Linked DNA regions of Arabidopsis thaliana. The protein of the gene in region 2 interacts with the protein of the main gene of each other region in a pairwise test. Each region holds a gene or a part of one and is shown on either strand. Other genes may lie near its edges.

Region 1 (6,257 bases), on a different chromosome or scaffold from region 2:
TCAGGTTTATCATTTTAATTCTACGTGTTTATAAATTATAGAGAAAATTATATTTTAATTCTACGTGTTTATCATTAATTTTATTATTTATTTTTTCAACATGTTTATCCGGTGATGCTATTTTGAAAAACAAATTTGTAGATAAAACAGAAAATGTGGCGACACGTCCGTGTGTTTAAATTTACTGAATTACCTAACCAGACACAGTAGTTACATCCACATTACATCACATTTGTTATCTCTTTATTAGGTGTGCAAAGGATAAAAACGAAAAATGTGGCAACACGTCATTGTTTCAAATATTTACTAAGTTTTCCTTATATAGACATTATTACATCTCAAAAAATCATCTCTTCAACATTACCATTTACTACTAGATGCAAGAGATAATAACAAGATAAAACAGAAAATGTGGCGACACGTTTTTGCCTTTCTTTTTAATTCTGTTGTGTAATTTACTCATAGTCAAATAAGTTATCAAGATATTATATCTTTTTAAAATTTAATCGGACGGTTATTGAGGCATCGAAAGCTATCACCAACATAAATCTATCCACGTGGACGGTAGTCACCTATCAATATTCACGAAAAGGCAGCGTTTATTGAATTTCTCGTGATATATCTGCTGACGTGTATAAGGCCCCACAAGATTTATGTTAAACGTAAAATTAAAACTGTAACAGAGAACTTTGGTTACCTATATAAAGCTCGCTCTTGCTGTTTCATTTTTTCAAGTAGTAACTGAAATCGAATTCATTTTCTTCTCTTCCTTTCTGGGATTTCGATTTTTCGTATTTTTTTTTTGTTCTGTTCGTCATGGTGATGATGAAGAAGCTTTTGTCGAACCGTTTGTTCAATATGTCAAAAACGGCGTCGCAAAGTCTCATGAACTGTCGTACTTCGTCTTCTTCTTCGTTAGCCATGCGAACTAGGGTTCCTAAAGATATAGGAGAAGCCACGATTGATCCAGAGCCTGGAGATTTGACGATTTCTCAGAGGTTTTTGAATAAATTCTCCATGAATGGGATTGATACGACTTCGAAGATGTCTATTGGGGAGAGTCTGATGGAGAAGCTTAAAGAAATGGATATGAACAAGGATCGGATTCGATTAGACGGACTTTCTCATCCGAAGGAGGAGACGTTAGGGCTTACTGTGCAAGACGTGAAGAAGTTGCTAAGAGCAGCAGAGATCGAAGTTATTAAAACGAAGCTGATGGAGACAGGAAAAATCTGGATTCGTTACTCAGATTTCTTAGGTGTTTGTAGTGATTCTTCTTTGGATCCTTCTCAAGGAGCTTTGATCGCTAAGATGCTTGATGATTCAGGAAACGTTATCGTTATGGGAAACTCTGTTTGTTTAAGACCTCATCAGGTAACTTCTTCCTCCTCTTTGCTTTTTTTTACCATTTGAATTCTTTTTTGTCTATGCAATTCTCTGATAAGGTCTTGTGTGTTGATCAGTTAACCAAATCCATAGAGGGGCTTCTTCCTTTATCACAAATCCATAACCCGAATGACCCAAGAAGAAAGGAGCTAAATGAGCTTGAAGCTATAAAGACGGTCATTGACCAAAAAGCACATTCTTTGGTGAGAAGAGAGCTTTGGGCTGGTTTGGGTTACTTGATCATCCAAACCGCAGGGTTTATGAGGCTAACGTTTTGGGACCTGACATGGGATGTTATGGAACCGATCTGTTTCTATGTCTCATCGGTATATTTCATGGCGGGTTACACATTTTTCCTCAAGACATCGAGAGAGCCTTCCTTTCAAGGTTTTTACCAAAGCAGGTTTGAGGCTAAACAAAGGAAACTGATGCAATCTGAGGATTTTGATGTTGGGAGGTATGATGAGCTGAAAAAGCTGTTTAATCCCAAGCCTTCAGGTGCTGTTCCCAAGATTCTTGGATCTCTACAGAATTGATCATTGGTGTCTCGTTGTCCTACTAACCTGAGAAAGATATATTGACCCCCAAAATTGTGTCAAACTATAATTTTTGAATATTTCATAATCTTTCTAGGAAAATAGGAAAAAGACAAAAAAAAAAAAAAAAAGTTCTATTAGTGCGGCTTATGTAATTTGGAAGAGTAGATAAAAGAATCGATTGTGATGTAGATTTATAAATTTCAAGTCTGACTTTCTGAATGTTAAATGTTACAATACTTCCATGCATATGCATATGAGATATCATTACTTTAAACATGTTATCTATACCAAAAACTCAACAAAACCTTGTCATTTGAGGCCTAAATCTTAGTTGAAGCCAATTCCGAAATTAGTTTTAGTTTTAACTTAAATGATTTTTAGTTTATAAATTAAACAAGTATAACATATGCTTAATGATTGTTTCGGCGGGCTTACATAAATGATTGATAGAACATGTTATGCGTGGGAGTAGTCGTTGTAAGTTCACCGTCCAAGTCTCCTTTTAATTAATTCACGAGAAATCAACTACGACCGTGTAAATAAAATACTTAGTTTGGTAGGTCAAGAATCACTTCTGGAAAATGAGACTAAAGAAAAGAGTCACTTGTGGAAAATACTATCAAGTGGACAAAACCAAATTCCTCATAGTGAAAAAGAGATATATTACACTGTTCCTGCCGCATTTGTTTGGTACGTATCTAATATTTTTGTTTACTCACGTGGTACTATAACGCTTATTGCCAATATAACGATTAGGACAATTTGATTTCTACTAATTTTATTTGATACGTATCAAATATCTTCTGTCTTAGCTGGTCATCAAATTGTGTGAAATAGTAATTTAATACTAACTCGTTACTGATTACTGATGTAGATTCATCTTCGTAACGATCGCCCGATCCATATTCCAATATTTGCATTTTGTTTTACGTAATGCACTCTTTCTCATCTGTAGCTCCTTGAGTAAAACTTAAAACTTAACCATGAAGGCATCTGTAAATTGACGCTTGTCTGAATTTCTCAACACCAAACTCTCTTTCGTGTCTAGAGGTTCTTTGGTTTTCCCACCTGCTTTTCGATTATGGTAATGGTCAACTTGACGCGTACCAAGTTTTCTGATCTTTTTGAAGATATTTCAAATATGGTTTGCTATTTCGATTTTCGACAATAACAGTAAAACCCCATTAAGACCATAAATCTTAAAAATTTTCATAACCGTTTTACAATATTCATTTATGTAGCCAAATTAAATTTGTCACGTAAATGTGACAATTAATATTGGTCCACATCATTTTGCTTTCATGACAAGACCGGCCATTTAGTGACCTACTGTATGTTCTACAACAATTATTGGAAAATGGAAATTAAATATCCCAACAAAAAAAATAAGAGCAGAAACAGAGATTCACTTTGCGAAAAAGTCGCACGCACACATATAAAAGACAGGACTAGAGGAACAGAGGAAGAAGAAGAGTCACTGTGATCACCACCACCGTACGATCAAATTCAAACTATGTCAACGGCTCTGATTAACTCTATTACCTACTTCCTCTCCGAACATCCATACATCGTCGGATTCCGTTGGAGTAACAGCCAATCATGGGGCTCCACGTGGTCTTTCCTCTTCACATCAATCTCCCTCTATATCGCCGTCTCATCCTCCCTCCACATCCTCCTCTCCGCCGTACGCCGAAGTAACCGTTCCGTTCCTTTAGGTCACATCCCCGAAATCCACAGCCTTCTCATGTCGATCCTCTCCGCCACCATTTTCGCCGGAATCCTCCTCTCCGCTGCCGCAGAGATCCGTGACACACGGTGGTTATGGCGGCGGAGCAAAACCGCCACTCCTCTCCAATGGCTTCTCTGTTTCCCTCTCGGGACTCGTCCCTCTGGTCGTGTCTTCTTTTGGTCATACGTGTTTTACCTCACGCGCTTTCTCCACATGTTCCGTACGATTTTCGCCGTTTTACGTAGCCGGAGGCTCGCCGTGTCTCAGCTCTTTTGTAACTCCGTCATGGCCTTCACGTCTTTCCTCTGGCTAGAATTCTCGCAGTCGTACCAGATTCTAGCGATTCTATCGACGACTCTGGTTTACTCGGTGGTTTACGGTTATAGATTCTGGACCGGGTTTGGTTTACCCGGTTCGGCTTTCCCTTCGTTTGTGGTGAATTGTCAGTTGGTTCTCGTGGGCTGTAATCTCGTGTCTCACGCTGGGGTTCTTACGATGCACCTCTTTAAAGGTGGATGCAATGGGATTGGCGCGTGGGGTTTAAACTCGGTTCTCAACGGTGCGATTTTGTTGCTTTTTCTTAACTTTTATGTGAGAATGCATTCGCCAATGCGACGCCATATTAATAAAATGAATAGCCAACGTAACGCTTAAGAATTAATTGATCCTTTTTACTAGTTTTTACTTTTTACTCAATAAAACAAATCTAATCTTCTTTTTTGTCTTTCACTTTTAAAACTGAAGTATAATCTAATTTGTTTTCTAATAACTAAAATGTTCTGCGTCTAGGTCTGTACATCTTCTCAAACCGGGACAATTTTTTTTTTATAAACCATCGATCTCTGACTTTGCATGAGATATTTTACATTTGAACTATTGGCTCTTAGTTAACGCAATCTAGTTCTTGTTTTTCATTCTTTTAAATCTAGTTTTGTGTTTTTTAAGTGGAAAGAAATTATGTCGATTATTTATAAATATATCTTTAAAAATATTTATTTATTTCATAAGAGGTTTTTGATCCAAAGACTCAAACTTGGGGTAACTTTATGACGTAGATATACCACAATACCCACCAAAATGTGGTGATAGAGGAAACAAAGGTTTACATGGTGGATCATGGACGAGGATGATCAAAAGCTTATACTCTTTACCAAGTGAAAATGCATTTTGGATAAGAGGAAAAATTATTAAAAGCGAGAAAACATAATATGGTTTGAGACTGATGTGTTAGATTGTAAGAGCTGCAATTGTATCTCTCTACTTGGGGACACACTTTTGATTTTCTATTTACCGTTTGAATGCCGTATAAGGAAATGTACAGGTCAAACGAATATGGTCGAGTGTTCGCCTTAGACCATTGTATAAGGAAATGAACTATGTCGACTATATTTAATATTTGGGCCTAGTATAATATTACTACACTTAATCAAAGTTAAGGCATTTATAACTGTAGAACAAGATGGGCCTAAGGCCACGGTTTTCTACTTAACTAGGCACACATATGACATATCCCATAGTAAAAAAGCTTACATAATAAGGCCCACATCTGAAATCTGATTCTCCACTGTAAAAATAAAATCCTCTTAAGCTCTCGATCGATGGTTCTGCAATCTCACAAACCAGAAACAAAGAGTCCAGGCTCTTGCAACCAACCGCGGAACTTGTTGAAAGGCGACGAGGAGAGAGAATTTCAAATCTCTCCAGATCAAAGTGAAACACAAGTACAACAAGTAACCGACAAAGTGAAGCGCAAGTACTTGTTTCTTTCCTTTTCCTTTAATATTTGTTAATTTGAGAAAAGTAAAAACCATAAAATATATATAGTTTCTGTCCGAATCGGCCTATCTTCACAAAATCTCGATTCCAATCAAGAATTTATGGCAAGAAAGGTCGATCAATCAATCAGATGATTATGGATCTAGAGATCTCTAAATTTGTGTTGTTGTGAATTGAGAATGCGAGAGCATTCGACGATGTACAATTACGCCCCCGAAGTGCCACCGCAAAGTAAAAGGAAGAAGACGATGAATGAGGCGTCTCCGTCGTGGTCTGGATTACCGGATTCTGTGGCTGTGAGTTGCATGGCTCGCGTCTCGAGATTGGACCAAACAGCCTTATCTCTCGCTCCAAGAAATACCGCTCTCTCGTAACATCCCCTGAGCTCTGCAGCACGCGATCGCTGATTGGTTGCACTGAGCCATCTTTCTTCGTCTGCTTGCGCATCTTACCTGATCCAACCCCTCGCTGGTTCGTCCTTACGGGTAGTCGTCGACTGAGGCCGGTCCCATCGCACCCCTATCAGGCTCCGGAATCATCTTCTTTTGTGGTAGTGAATTGGGGGATCTATGTTATGTAATCGGTGGAATCATAAACGGCAATCCCACTTCCGATGTCTTGTTCCTCAACTGTTTTTCTCAGACATGGCACCGCGTCCCGTCTATGAAGATGGCTCGTGCTTCCGCATCGGCAAGCCTCATAGACGGGAAGATCTACGTTTTTGGAGGGTGCCCAGAGGACGCTGATTCCTCAAACTGGGCGGAGGTATTCGATCCAGTTTACCAAACTTGGGGTATATTTAATACGCCGAAGATGGCCCATAGTAT
Region 2 (4,981 bases):
ACCACATCAGATGTGAGGGAGAATCAAGCAATTTCAGACAAGACTTGTCTTCAGCTTCAAACTCCATAACTCCAAGAAGGGAACCACAATACCTAACTGATAGAAGACACTTTGAACCTGGTCAATCCTCAAGAAGACATGATGTTCGGGATTTAAGAAGAGGGTCAGAGAGGATTGGGAATCTCAATCAACAGAACTATGTGCAAAGATCAGGAGGGATACTGAAACCTCCGAAGAAACGCTAAACACTCTACCAACTTCTGTTTTTTTTGGATTGAAGTCTGCAGGTTAACAAGGAAGCAGCTTCAAGATACTCCTTTTGGATTGAAGACTGCAGGTCAACAAGAAAAGCAGCTTCAAGATATAATAGATGAGTATGGTTTTTGGTTAGGACATACTCCTACTTATCTTTAAATTCAGCATTGTCTTAGTTTATGTTTCAGTTTGGAATAGGCTTGTTGCCTTTTATGTTTAAGTGGAAAGTCCACTGATCAACTTTTTGTAAGAACTTAAAATGTTATCAATGAAAAGATATCAGTTCAGAGAGAAAAAAAAAAAAAAAGATACCTCAAGATCTATGCTTTTTTTATCGTTTTCCTATGATGTTATGTCACGTTAACACTATAGTATTCACACAATAACTGATTTATCTTTTCCAGAATAATTTTACTAACATAAGTTCTTTTTAGTGTTAAGTGATGCTTGCTTGACGCTGCGTGCTCCGAATTTTTGTTCTCTCTCATTTGCCTTTTTTTTGTTCGTAAATTTTTTTTTATTGCATTTTCTCACTTTTTAGTCCTTTCGGAGAAAGATCAAAAGACATTATAGGTCAAGTATTGATTTACAAAGATAAATACATGAATGAGGGTGGTTATGTAGATGTCGATTACTACTCACTATCTCATGACTAATCATCTTGAAAGATCAAAGATCAAACCAAGCTTGCTTGAAAATTCAAAAGCATACGATTTGGGGTCCCATTTGTTGGAAATATTACAGTTAACATGTATTCGTCGATACATCTTCCCTCAAAACATCCATTGCAAGGACTCTCTTAGCTAATAATACTACTCCTAAGGCATTTTACCATTGTTCCAAAAACAAAACTTGAAAAGAAATGAGCTTATGGAGTAAACACTCACGGCTTTGGAGAATGTGACATAGTTGATTCAAGCCTGCGTAACCAGTTAACGTATTGATCCTGCTCCTTCTTGTTCAGGTGACACAAAAGGAAATTAGTTAAGCCTTCACTGACCCCCTTAGATATTAGGTATTGCTCCAGTGCACTGTGTAGTTTGGGATCTACTTGGCTAAAGAAACAAAGAAAATAACACTGGTCATTGAAATCAAACATATGCAGACACATGAACCTCTAATAGTCTACTTCTTTTTCAATATATATAGAACAATTACTCCAGGGAAAGAACAATGGGAAGTGTACCCAATGCTTTGAGGTTTGGATGAAGTAAAACAGATATGATTCAAGTAACTTAAACAAAATGTTGAGAGATTATCATTTATGAGCTTACTTCACCTGAAAAAATGGTCTCCATAAGTGGAAGAAGGAGCAGAAACAAAAGAGCGGATAAAGTAGGCGCTCTCGATGTCGAAATGAGAAGATCCAGATCCTGATTCGTAAACCCGGCAATGAAACTGCAAGATAGAGCTGAGACCAGGCTTTTTGATACAAACTTTGGCATGAGCTTCCCTAGGAAACACTAAATCATCTTCTAGTTCTATAGGTTCTGGTTGCAATAAAGCAGAGACCACAACCTTCTCGCCTGAATCAAACTGTCTCTTCAGAACAATATCTTGGCTTTCCGGTGAATCCCAATCCAATTTGAAATCTCCTAGAGAACCGGTCTCAACGCCCTGTGGGGTTCAAGCACAAAGCAAAATCATAAAGGTAGAATGTAAGTACTTAAAATCCTAGGGTTTATGAGATCCAACATCAAATTCAAATTCGCCCATCTGGTAAATCACTCTAATGTTCATCAATTCAGAAAAATGAAATTGAAACTGACAGAGTCTGATCGAACTAATGTTGAGCACCATTGATCTTAAAACTCAATTGAGAGATTACTGAGAGCAACGAAGAAGAAGAAGGAAAGAGGAAGACAACAATTTACCTGGAAACGAGGATGGGAGATTTCGTGACGAATTTCACTTTGGAGGATCTTCAACAAATCACCATTTTCAATAGCCTTCAAGCCTCGTTTCAGAAGCGGATTCAACTTCCTCATCTCTCTCTTTTCCCTAAAATTGGCTTCTCTCAATCTACGGAGCACAAAAACTAAAGTAGACTGAATCATGATCCGGTTCGGTTTAATTCGGTTTATTTCCGTAGCAATTTCAGTAGACCGGAATTTAAACGGTTAAACCGAATTCTCAGTTACGTAATCATGCAATTTAACAATTACACAGAACCAATCAATCATCAGCTGCACACCAAACTTTTATTTCCCTTGAAGATCAAGGCTTCTCTCAATACATAGTTTCATTCAAAGGGTGATTTTTTGTATTAATAAACAAAAAATGAAGATAGAATTCAGATTTCAGATAGAGTTTCATTATCCATTTTAGTTCAAGCATCTATAACCAGACAATGAAAGAGAATCAACCATATGATGATGTCACGTCACACACACTCCTTATAAACTATATGTGTAGCTTCTAAGGAAACCAAAAACATATAGATCAAAACAAAAAAAACAAACAAATTATGAATTCAGAATGGGAAATGGATTCTGATAGAAAGAAAACATTTTTCAAATGCACAAAGTGGCAATTCGAGGACACACTTGATCCTATTAACTGTCCTTTCCACTATTTCTGCGACAGCATCTATGCCGGCGACTACCCTCAAATCACCGACGTTCTAGTTTTCTTCTTCGTTACGGTTACTTATTTGACGACGCTAATTGTTGTCGTAAGGAAGGTAATATCAAGAAGAAGAAGAGAAAATGATGATGATGGTGATGATGACAAAGCAAGAAGGTACTTACTTCCTTCTGGTCCAATCTCTCTTCCTTTGATCATCTTGATTCTTGCAAAAGGTCAAAGGATCAATACCCTTTTCCCAATTTCCATCTTTGGACCTGCGATACTACAGCTTGTTCAGCTCTCAGTGCTTTTATTTGAGAACAATATCGAAAAAGAAGCGAGTTTTGTCTTCTTCGAAGCCTCTACTATCTCTGGTATTCTCCACGCTAGTCTTTACTTAGACGCTGTGATTCTCCCCTATTATACAGGATTCGATGCTCTGGTCACATCTACTTTCTCTGGAGTCTGCAAGTCTTGTATATGCAGGAAAGAGCCATTAATAGTGGGAGGGAAGATTGTCTCTTACCGAGGATGGTCTAGTACAACGTTCTTGGTGGTTGGTGTTTTGTTTTTGAGGATTATATGCAAGTTATGCAAAGAAGAAGGAATAAATAAAAGAGTTTTGGTGGTTAAAAATGTTGTGCAAGGACTGACATTGCTTGTTCTTATAAGAGATTGTGTGTACTTGGCCGTTATGTCTCCTGTTGAAGAGCCTATCTTGTTTAGGGTTTTTGTGTTTGGTTTTCTTCTTCTGTTGATATGTGTTTATGTAATCACAAAAGTATGTTGTTTGGTTAGTCGGAGACAGAGTAAGAAGACATCAGACACATGAAATTTGAAACAAAAAGGAAAAATCAGAGGCAAGATGAAGTAAATGTAAATGATTGCTTAATGATGAGTTTATATTGGATGTGATGATGAAATGGTAAAACTTAAACATTACTTCTATATCTATTTATATTTATCCTTATTGTAAATAGTTAAATCAAAACAGTGAGAAGTAGTAGTGTCAAGATGACGCAAGATAGTGGTTACAGTTTTAAACAAGAAGAAATAGAAAAGTGGTGTAACACTTGCTAATTTGCTAGATATTCCATTAGGAAATTGCTTTTGAAAGCCTTCTGAGTTGGTTCATCACTTTACCCGAACAAAAAAATGACTTTTTACTTCTACTAGGCATAAATAAGTCTTGGCTTTTTAATTCAATATATTGGTTATGTTAATGTTGAACAAGATTATATTACAGCTAGTATATATACTGCGATGCAATGTTAAATTTTAGATTTAAACTTTGTTAAAGAAGATTAACCTTAAGAAAATAAAATTCCTAGATTTATAAATATATGACTAACCATACATACATACATATTCAAGTTCAGAAGTCATAGAATTATATCAATAATTAGGTGGTACCACTGTACTATCTTGTATTGTTATTTGTAGCATTGGATAGTTTTACGAAGTTTGTACTTATACATAATGATTAATGAGATCGTCGATCTCTGGTATGCTATTCCGATGACTAATTTATCCCCAAGAACCTACGAACAGAGATTATTGTTACATGAGTTCTCATTGATCATGGGTGTACTTTTATTGATATTAATTGATGAGATTCTAGATCGAACCTCACTTAAACATAAAACATACGAGAAGAAGAGATTCGTGATCCGTAGTAGCTCTGCTTATTCAGATATGACCACACCAATAGAGATGATAAGGACCCAAAAGCATGTACTTACCGAATTACTATGGCTATTGTAAACTTATGCTTAAATCCACGTAGAATTCAACCATAAGCCGGCGTAAAGTAGGTTTAGGTAAACTATAAATGATTAGTCTAAATTTTTAATTTTTTTTTTGTCAATCAATGATTAGTCTACATAAAAAAATATTTCTAGCCCTAACAATTTGCTCAAACACTAATAATATATAGAAGGTTTTGTTAATCAAGTACGCAAGTGAATTTTTGTGCGAAATTAGTTTTTATTTTATTATTATGATTTATACCAGAAACAACTTTATAAGCAAAAATGCACTCAAAGTACTTCACCGAGAGTATGGTGAAGGATCTAGTAAGAAGAGCACTAAGAGAAATTTATATTGGTGTGATATGGAGAGTCTGGATTCTCCTGATAGGGTATTAGTAGTTGATACC
Region 3 (5,588 bases), on a different chromosome or scaffold from region 2:
ATCAACTAGTGATTCGACCATTACTATCAAACGATTCGAAGTCCACTACGAGGCTTTAATCTCCAATTCAAGAGAATAATCTCGAATATGAAATTGGAAAAGCAAGACAAAGAATCAAAGAGCAAGTAATGAGATTAATTTTGCAACAAACAGCAAAAACATAAAACGAAAACCAAACTGTAAATCCAATTCAAGCATTCAACGAGTCATGTAACTAAATCAGCCAGATAGGACAGATTCTCAAATTGATGGTCTGAAATTTTTTTCCTTCAAGTCAGATCAAAGCACACGCGAAAAATTAAAGAAGGTGAATCTCAATCTCTCTTTCTCATAAAAGCTGATGATTTGTTGAAAAGGAAAGAAAGAAAAAGGTATAAATATATTTTTTTGGCTTGAGTTTTGTTTATTTTTTGAAAGAATAGGTGGATGAGAGAGATAAAGCGATATATGGTTAGAGGGTAAATTGGTCAAATTATACATTCAAAGTGCCTTCTTTTTAGAAAGTGTCTAACCACGGAAATGTTTTTTAAAAAGTGTTTTACAGTGTAATATTCTCAAAAAAAAAATAAGAGCCCTTTAATATAGATATAATTATTTAAATTTAATTTATATCTGTTTTAAGAAAATAATAACTATACATATATATATATATATATATTATAAAATCGACATTAAAAACGTAGTTGTTACTTTTCTTCTAACCATATTTGTTTAAATATACCATAGCTATTTATATATTTACAAAAAAAAAAAAATCATAAAATGGGTTCCAAACCATTACTTCATTTGGCCAGCCATGGGCTCATACGTTATGTTGTGAAGTTCTCGGAATAACAATAAAATTTCAAATTTTAGAAAATACCACTGTTACTAGCCTACTTTCACCTTGTGGATCATTTTGTTAGCTATACATGATACTATTGTTTGTTTATTTTTTACACTCTAGAATTTGTATCATAGCTAGCAAAATGATCACATATATGTTGTTGTAAAGTTCTCGGAAGCAGCCGTGATGGAAAACGCATATTCTCGTATCACTAGTGAACCCAAATGATCACATATTTGTTGTTGTTTTTAACTCAGCCATCATTACCATGCATGAGTCTCGTCTAACATGACGGTTCTGTAACCCAAATGGAATGGAATGCATTTTTCCTACACTACGTCATGACATTCCCAGGGTTGATGCCACTTGTTTGCACAATTATTGTCTCTTCACCCTACAGCTTTCAACAATGTGCAACTACACGTAAATTTGACCAATCAATTTATTTATCAATATTTATATAGTGCAACAAGTAATTTTCTTTTATTTGAACCAAACAAAAAAGTAATATTCTTTCAGTTTAGAATTCGCAAGGTTGACTTCAACTTAGTTTCATATCAACTATAATTATATTCTGTGTATATAGTTAATGTTTGAATACTCTAATGGCTTTGTATGAATGGCCTGATATAACTGTCCCTCGAAAATCTATTACTTAAGTAGAAAATACATAATATATAAAATCTTCAATTTAATTACATAGGTTAAATCCTTTTCACTCACATAGTCTCATGGATCATTTTTTTTTTTTTGCATCCATGGATCTACAGTTTTGTAAGAAGTAAAAGATAAACCATGAAAAAATCCTATATCTGAGTTACATGAGATTAATTTTCTAACAAAAGCTTTAAGCAAATAATGTTTGTCACTTTCATTTGATAAATAAATAAAAAAATACAAAAAGAGATATTTCGTCTAAGAGAAAACATACGAAACCAATTTCAATAGCTCAACTGGTAAAGACTATTAGACAAAGCATGTAGGTCGCCGTTCGATAAAAAAAATTATTTCCCACGTATGTAATTGTTTCTCCAGTTTACCTCTTGATTTAATGTCTACGCGGTTGAATATATTATCTGTAAGAGTTGGTACCATGTCTATTGCATACTATAAACATCGAGTAAATGAAATTCACATCTTTGTTCACTTAGGTTTTTAATAGCAATCTACACGATCCTGCTTTTATGGCTGCGTCATTTTCATTCTTGTAGATAAAGTCACTCCGGTAGTTATAAAAAAAAACAAATTAGGTTTAACTTGTAGTGCTATATATATATATATATATAAGCTTCATATTGTTTTCATTACGATCTTTTTTTTTATATATACAATGAAATTGTTGCAAGCGTTAAGCAATGTAAACGTGGAGGTTTCAAGGATGTCTTGTGAACGATTACCAGAAAATAATGTATATTATTGACAAGGTATGCAATAAACTTATGAGCAAAAACGAAAGAATGATAAATCATATAGGTATAAGGTATATTAATAAGTAAAAGCAATAAACTTAAACATGCGACCAAGAGATAAAAAAAAGTATATAGCGAAACTACAAGTAAAACATTTAAACCACCATCAATATTATATCCACTTATAACAAAGAAATATGATTTTGGGAAAACGAACTTAAAAAAATATATATTGCATGGACATATAGCGAAATAGTTCATTCAAAGACAAAGATTGGTTAGTCTACTCCTATCAATCTTTTTAAAAAAGTAAATTAATATTGATGTAAGGAAATTTGTAATTTTAGTTTAAAGAATTAATGCTAGTGAAAGAGTAGTAATAAGATGCTACGTATATAACCCAATTGACTTTGCTTGGATCATCAAAAAACTGCCTCAAAATGTTATATTCCATTGCGTGTGTATTTTTGTTTTTACGAGTTAATCACTCACGCCACAAGATCTCCACTTTTACTTGCTCTTCTCCACTTTTTAACCTCATTCCAACTAGGAAGTAAGATCCATGTATCTCTTTTTAACCCTTAAAACATTGGAAACAAGAATTCTCTTACACATGTATCGGTAGTTGGAAATGCCGACCCAAAAGGACCAAAACTCACCATTATCTCAAGTGATAGAGCTTCTCAAGAAACTACTCCACCATTTCCACAATCTCCTTTTGTATTTCTTCATCCTCTGGATCGGCGTGATAGTTGGAATCATTGTTTATCCCTCTCTACAAGGATTATCTTCGCCTTCTTCGTTAACCATCCAAAGTGTCTCCCAACTCTTCTTTGTAACCCCTCCTCCTCCTATTCTTTCTCCTTCATTTCAGGACAATGGGCTTGACATGTTTCTGATACCACTGAAGAACATCATGCACGATATGGAAGATAATGAACTTCTGTGGAGAGCTTCAATGGATCCTAAGATCAGGGATTACCCTTATCCTAGAATCCCGAAGGTTGCTTTCATGTTCTTGACTTGGGGACCTTTACCTTTGGCTCCTCTATGGGAAAGGTTCTTTCGAGGTCATGAAGGTCTTTTCACTATCTACGTTCACACCAATTCGTCTTACGACGAGTTCATGCCGCAAGACTCTGTGTTTTATGGCCGCCGTATTCCAAGCAAGGTCAGCTTCCCAAATTATTAAGAAATTTATTTCGATACATTAATAGGTTTGGAATTAACGTGATAAATAAAATTTATAAATATATTATAAATAATATATATATATATATATATATATATATAACGGATCGAAGTACATGAATACGATATTTTTCCTATCTTTTTTAGTAAATTACATAAAAATATAAGAATATTTGGTATCTTAAAAGAAAACATATTAATTATTACACTATAATACATAAAATAAAATCAATCCAATGTCATTAACTATAAACGTATGCAGAGAGTGGATTGGGGAAACGCAAACATGGTAGAAGCAGAACGAAGGTTATTAGCAAACGCTTTATTAGACATCAACAACGAACGTTTCATTCTTCTCTCCGAATCATGCATCCCTCTCTTCAACTTCTCCACAGTTTACTCTTTCCTCATCGACTCCACTCTAACCCACGTCGACTCCTACGACCTCACAATCGGTCGCGTCCGCTATGACCGCCGCATGTATCCTCACATCCGCATGCACCAATGGCGAAAAGGCTCTCAGTGGTTCGAGCTAGACCGAGCCATGGCCCTCGAGGTAGTCTCTGATACGTTCTACTGGCCAATCTTTAAAGCTTACTCTCGCTGCCCCGACGAGCACTATATCCCGACGCTACTCAACATGAGGCCGAGCCTTGGGTTGCGTAACGCGAATAGGACGCTTACTTGGACTGACTGGAGCAAGCGTAGGGCTCACCCGAGATTGTTTGGTGAGTGGGAGGTTAATGTGGAGTTCTTGGAGTGGCTAAGGATGAAGAGTGTTGGTGATTGTAAGAAAAATGGAGAAAATAAGATGAGACTTTGCTTTCTCTTTGCTCGCAAGTTTTCGTCGACTGCTTTGGATGAGTTACTCCGGTTAGCATCTATCGTCATGTATTTCTGATCACTCTCTTCCCCCTTCGTCCAAAAACAAAGATGCAATCGGTTTAACTACCAAATCTTCTTTAAGTAAGTGAAATATACAGTGTGTGCTTAACAAGTTACTTTCAGTACTAGGGATGTGAGATTAATCAAAGTCCTTGATAAAGTTAGGAACTAGCCTGTCATCAAGTTATAAACAGAAGATAACTTGAGAAACATTGAGAAAACACAAAAGCCTGACCCCCCAATCTCATTTGGTTTAGTCCTCCATTAGCATTTATGAGAAGGTATCCATTCATATTAGCACCTAACTCTGCAGACAATGTATACTCATATGGTAAGAACTTATAGAAGAGAAAAATAGGAAAAGAAAAAAAAGAACAAATTGCTACTAATAGGACTAAAAGTTTTGCCTAGACACCTGAATACTCAAAGAAGAATAAAGTCATGTCAGATATTTAATCTCCTTCTCCCATCTTCTTAAGCGAGATAGAAACTAAGCCACAAATGTTTAACCAAAGAAACACTTGAAAACACTACTACCACCAAGAAATGTGAAGAAGATCTTAATTAAGCAGCTCAATACACATCCATTTTTGGGCAACACTCAAAACGCAATTTATCAAGTTGTAGAAACAGAAACAAAGGCTAAACCACATATAAACAAGACCTTCTCAAGCCAAAAGTCGTAAATGTTCGACAAGAGAAACACTATTAGTAACAGAAATGTGAAGATTTTATCTTAATCAAGCATGTTCTAGTATGAGAAACACCTAAAAAGATAGCACAAAAAGCAAGAACCTAATGAGAAGCACCACCACCAATGGCAAAATTTTCTATACAATTGTTGATTTTTTCCCCATTTACATATTGATTATTCCATTTTGCTATATTTAGTTTTTTTTTTTTTTTTTTTTTATTCATTCAAATTCAATTTTACATATATTTATGTGACCCAAAACATAATTCCAATTCATTTTCTACAAAAATTCAATTTTTGACTTACCATATCACAAATGATATTATTAAAATAATATCAATAATAATATAATCACTCTTATAATAAAACTTCGTAATGGCCACAAAAAAATCAGTAATTTTCGATTTCCTTAAAAAGTCATCGAATTAAATATGAAAAATCAACGAGTTAGTTTGTCCAAAACGAATAAAATAAATTTAATAGTACCTTTTATTTTTTCGGAAACCCTTGTTTCGTTTTTTTTCCTCGATCTTCTTCTTCCCCAATCTCTCTTATTTTGTGAGCTTTTTAGATCCTCCTTTCT

Evidence for each region. The genes of interacting proteins can lie anywhere in the genome.
Region 1: the proteins of AT2G41610 (region 2) and HOS3-1 interact in a protein complementation assay, tested with the Arabidopsis thaliana proteins (one large-scale study listed by BioGRID).
Region 3: the proteins of AT2G41610 (region 2) and AT1G68380 interact in a protein complementation assay, tested with the Arabidopsis thaliana proteins (one large-scale study listed by BioGRID).

The regions. Positions count from the first base shown.
Region 1 is NC_003075.7:17,346,073-17,352,329, forward strand, and holds HOS3-1 (GNS1/SUR4 membrane protein family), read left to right. Parts: upstream 1-3,145; 5' UTR 3,146-3,438; coding exon 3,439-4,213; coding exon of another isoform or gene 4,214-4,308; exon of another isoform or gene 4,309-4,555; intron 4,556-4,709; coding exon 4,710-4,861; 3' UTR 4,862-5,091; downstream 5,092-6,257. Other genes in the region: AT4G36820 (calcium uniporter (DUF607)), read left to right, coding at 817-1,374, 1,464-1,922; AT4G36840 (Galactose oxidase/kelch repeat superfamily protein), read left to right, coding at 6,094-6,257. UniProt on the Arabidopsis thaliana protein: Probable very long-chain fatty acid (VLCFA) elongase that controls VLCFA composition and functions to inhibit abscisic acid (ABA)-mediated stress responses, including regulation of stomatal aperture, maintenance of primary root growth and inhibition of germination.
Region 2 is NC_003071.7:17,344,459-17,349,439, forward strand, and holds AT2G41610 (uncharacterized protein), read left to right. Parts: upstream 1-2,698; 5' UTR 2,699-2,722; coding exon 2,723-3,655; 3' UTR 3,656-3,781; downstream 3,782-4,981. Other genes in the region: AT2G41590 (Ta11-like non-LTR retrotransposon), read left to right, coding at 1-245; AT2G41600 (Mitochondrial glycoprotein family protein), read right to left, coding at 1,139-1,310, 1,535-1,872, 2,130-2,312.
Region 3 is NC_003070.9:25,634,672-25,640,259, reverse strand, and holds AT1G68380 (Core-2/I-branching beta-1,6-N-acetylglucosaminyltransferase family protein), read left to right. Parts: upstream 1-2,797; 5' UTR 2,798-2,866; coding exon 2,867-3,406; intron 3,407-3,688; coding exon 3,689-4,327; 3' UTR 4,328-4,422; downstream 4,423-5,588.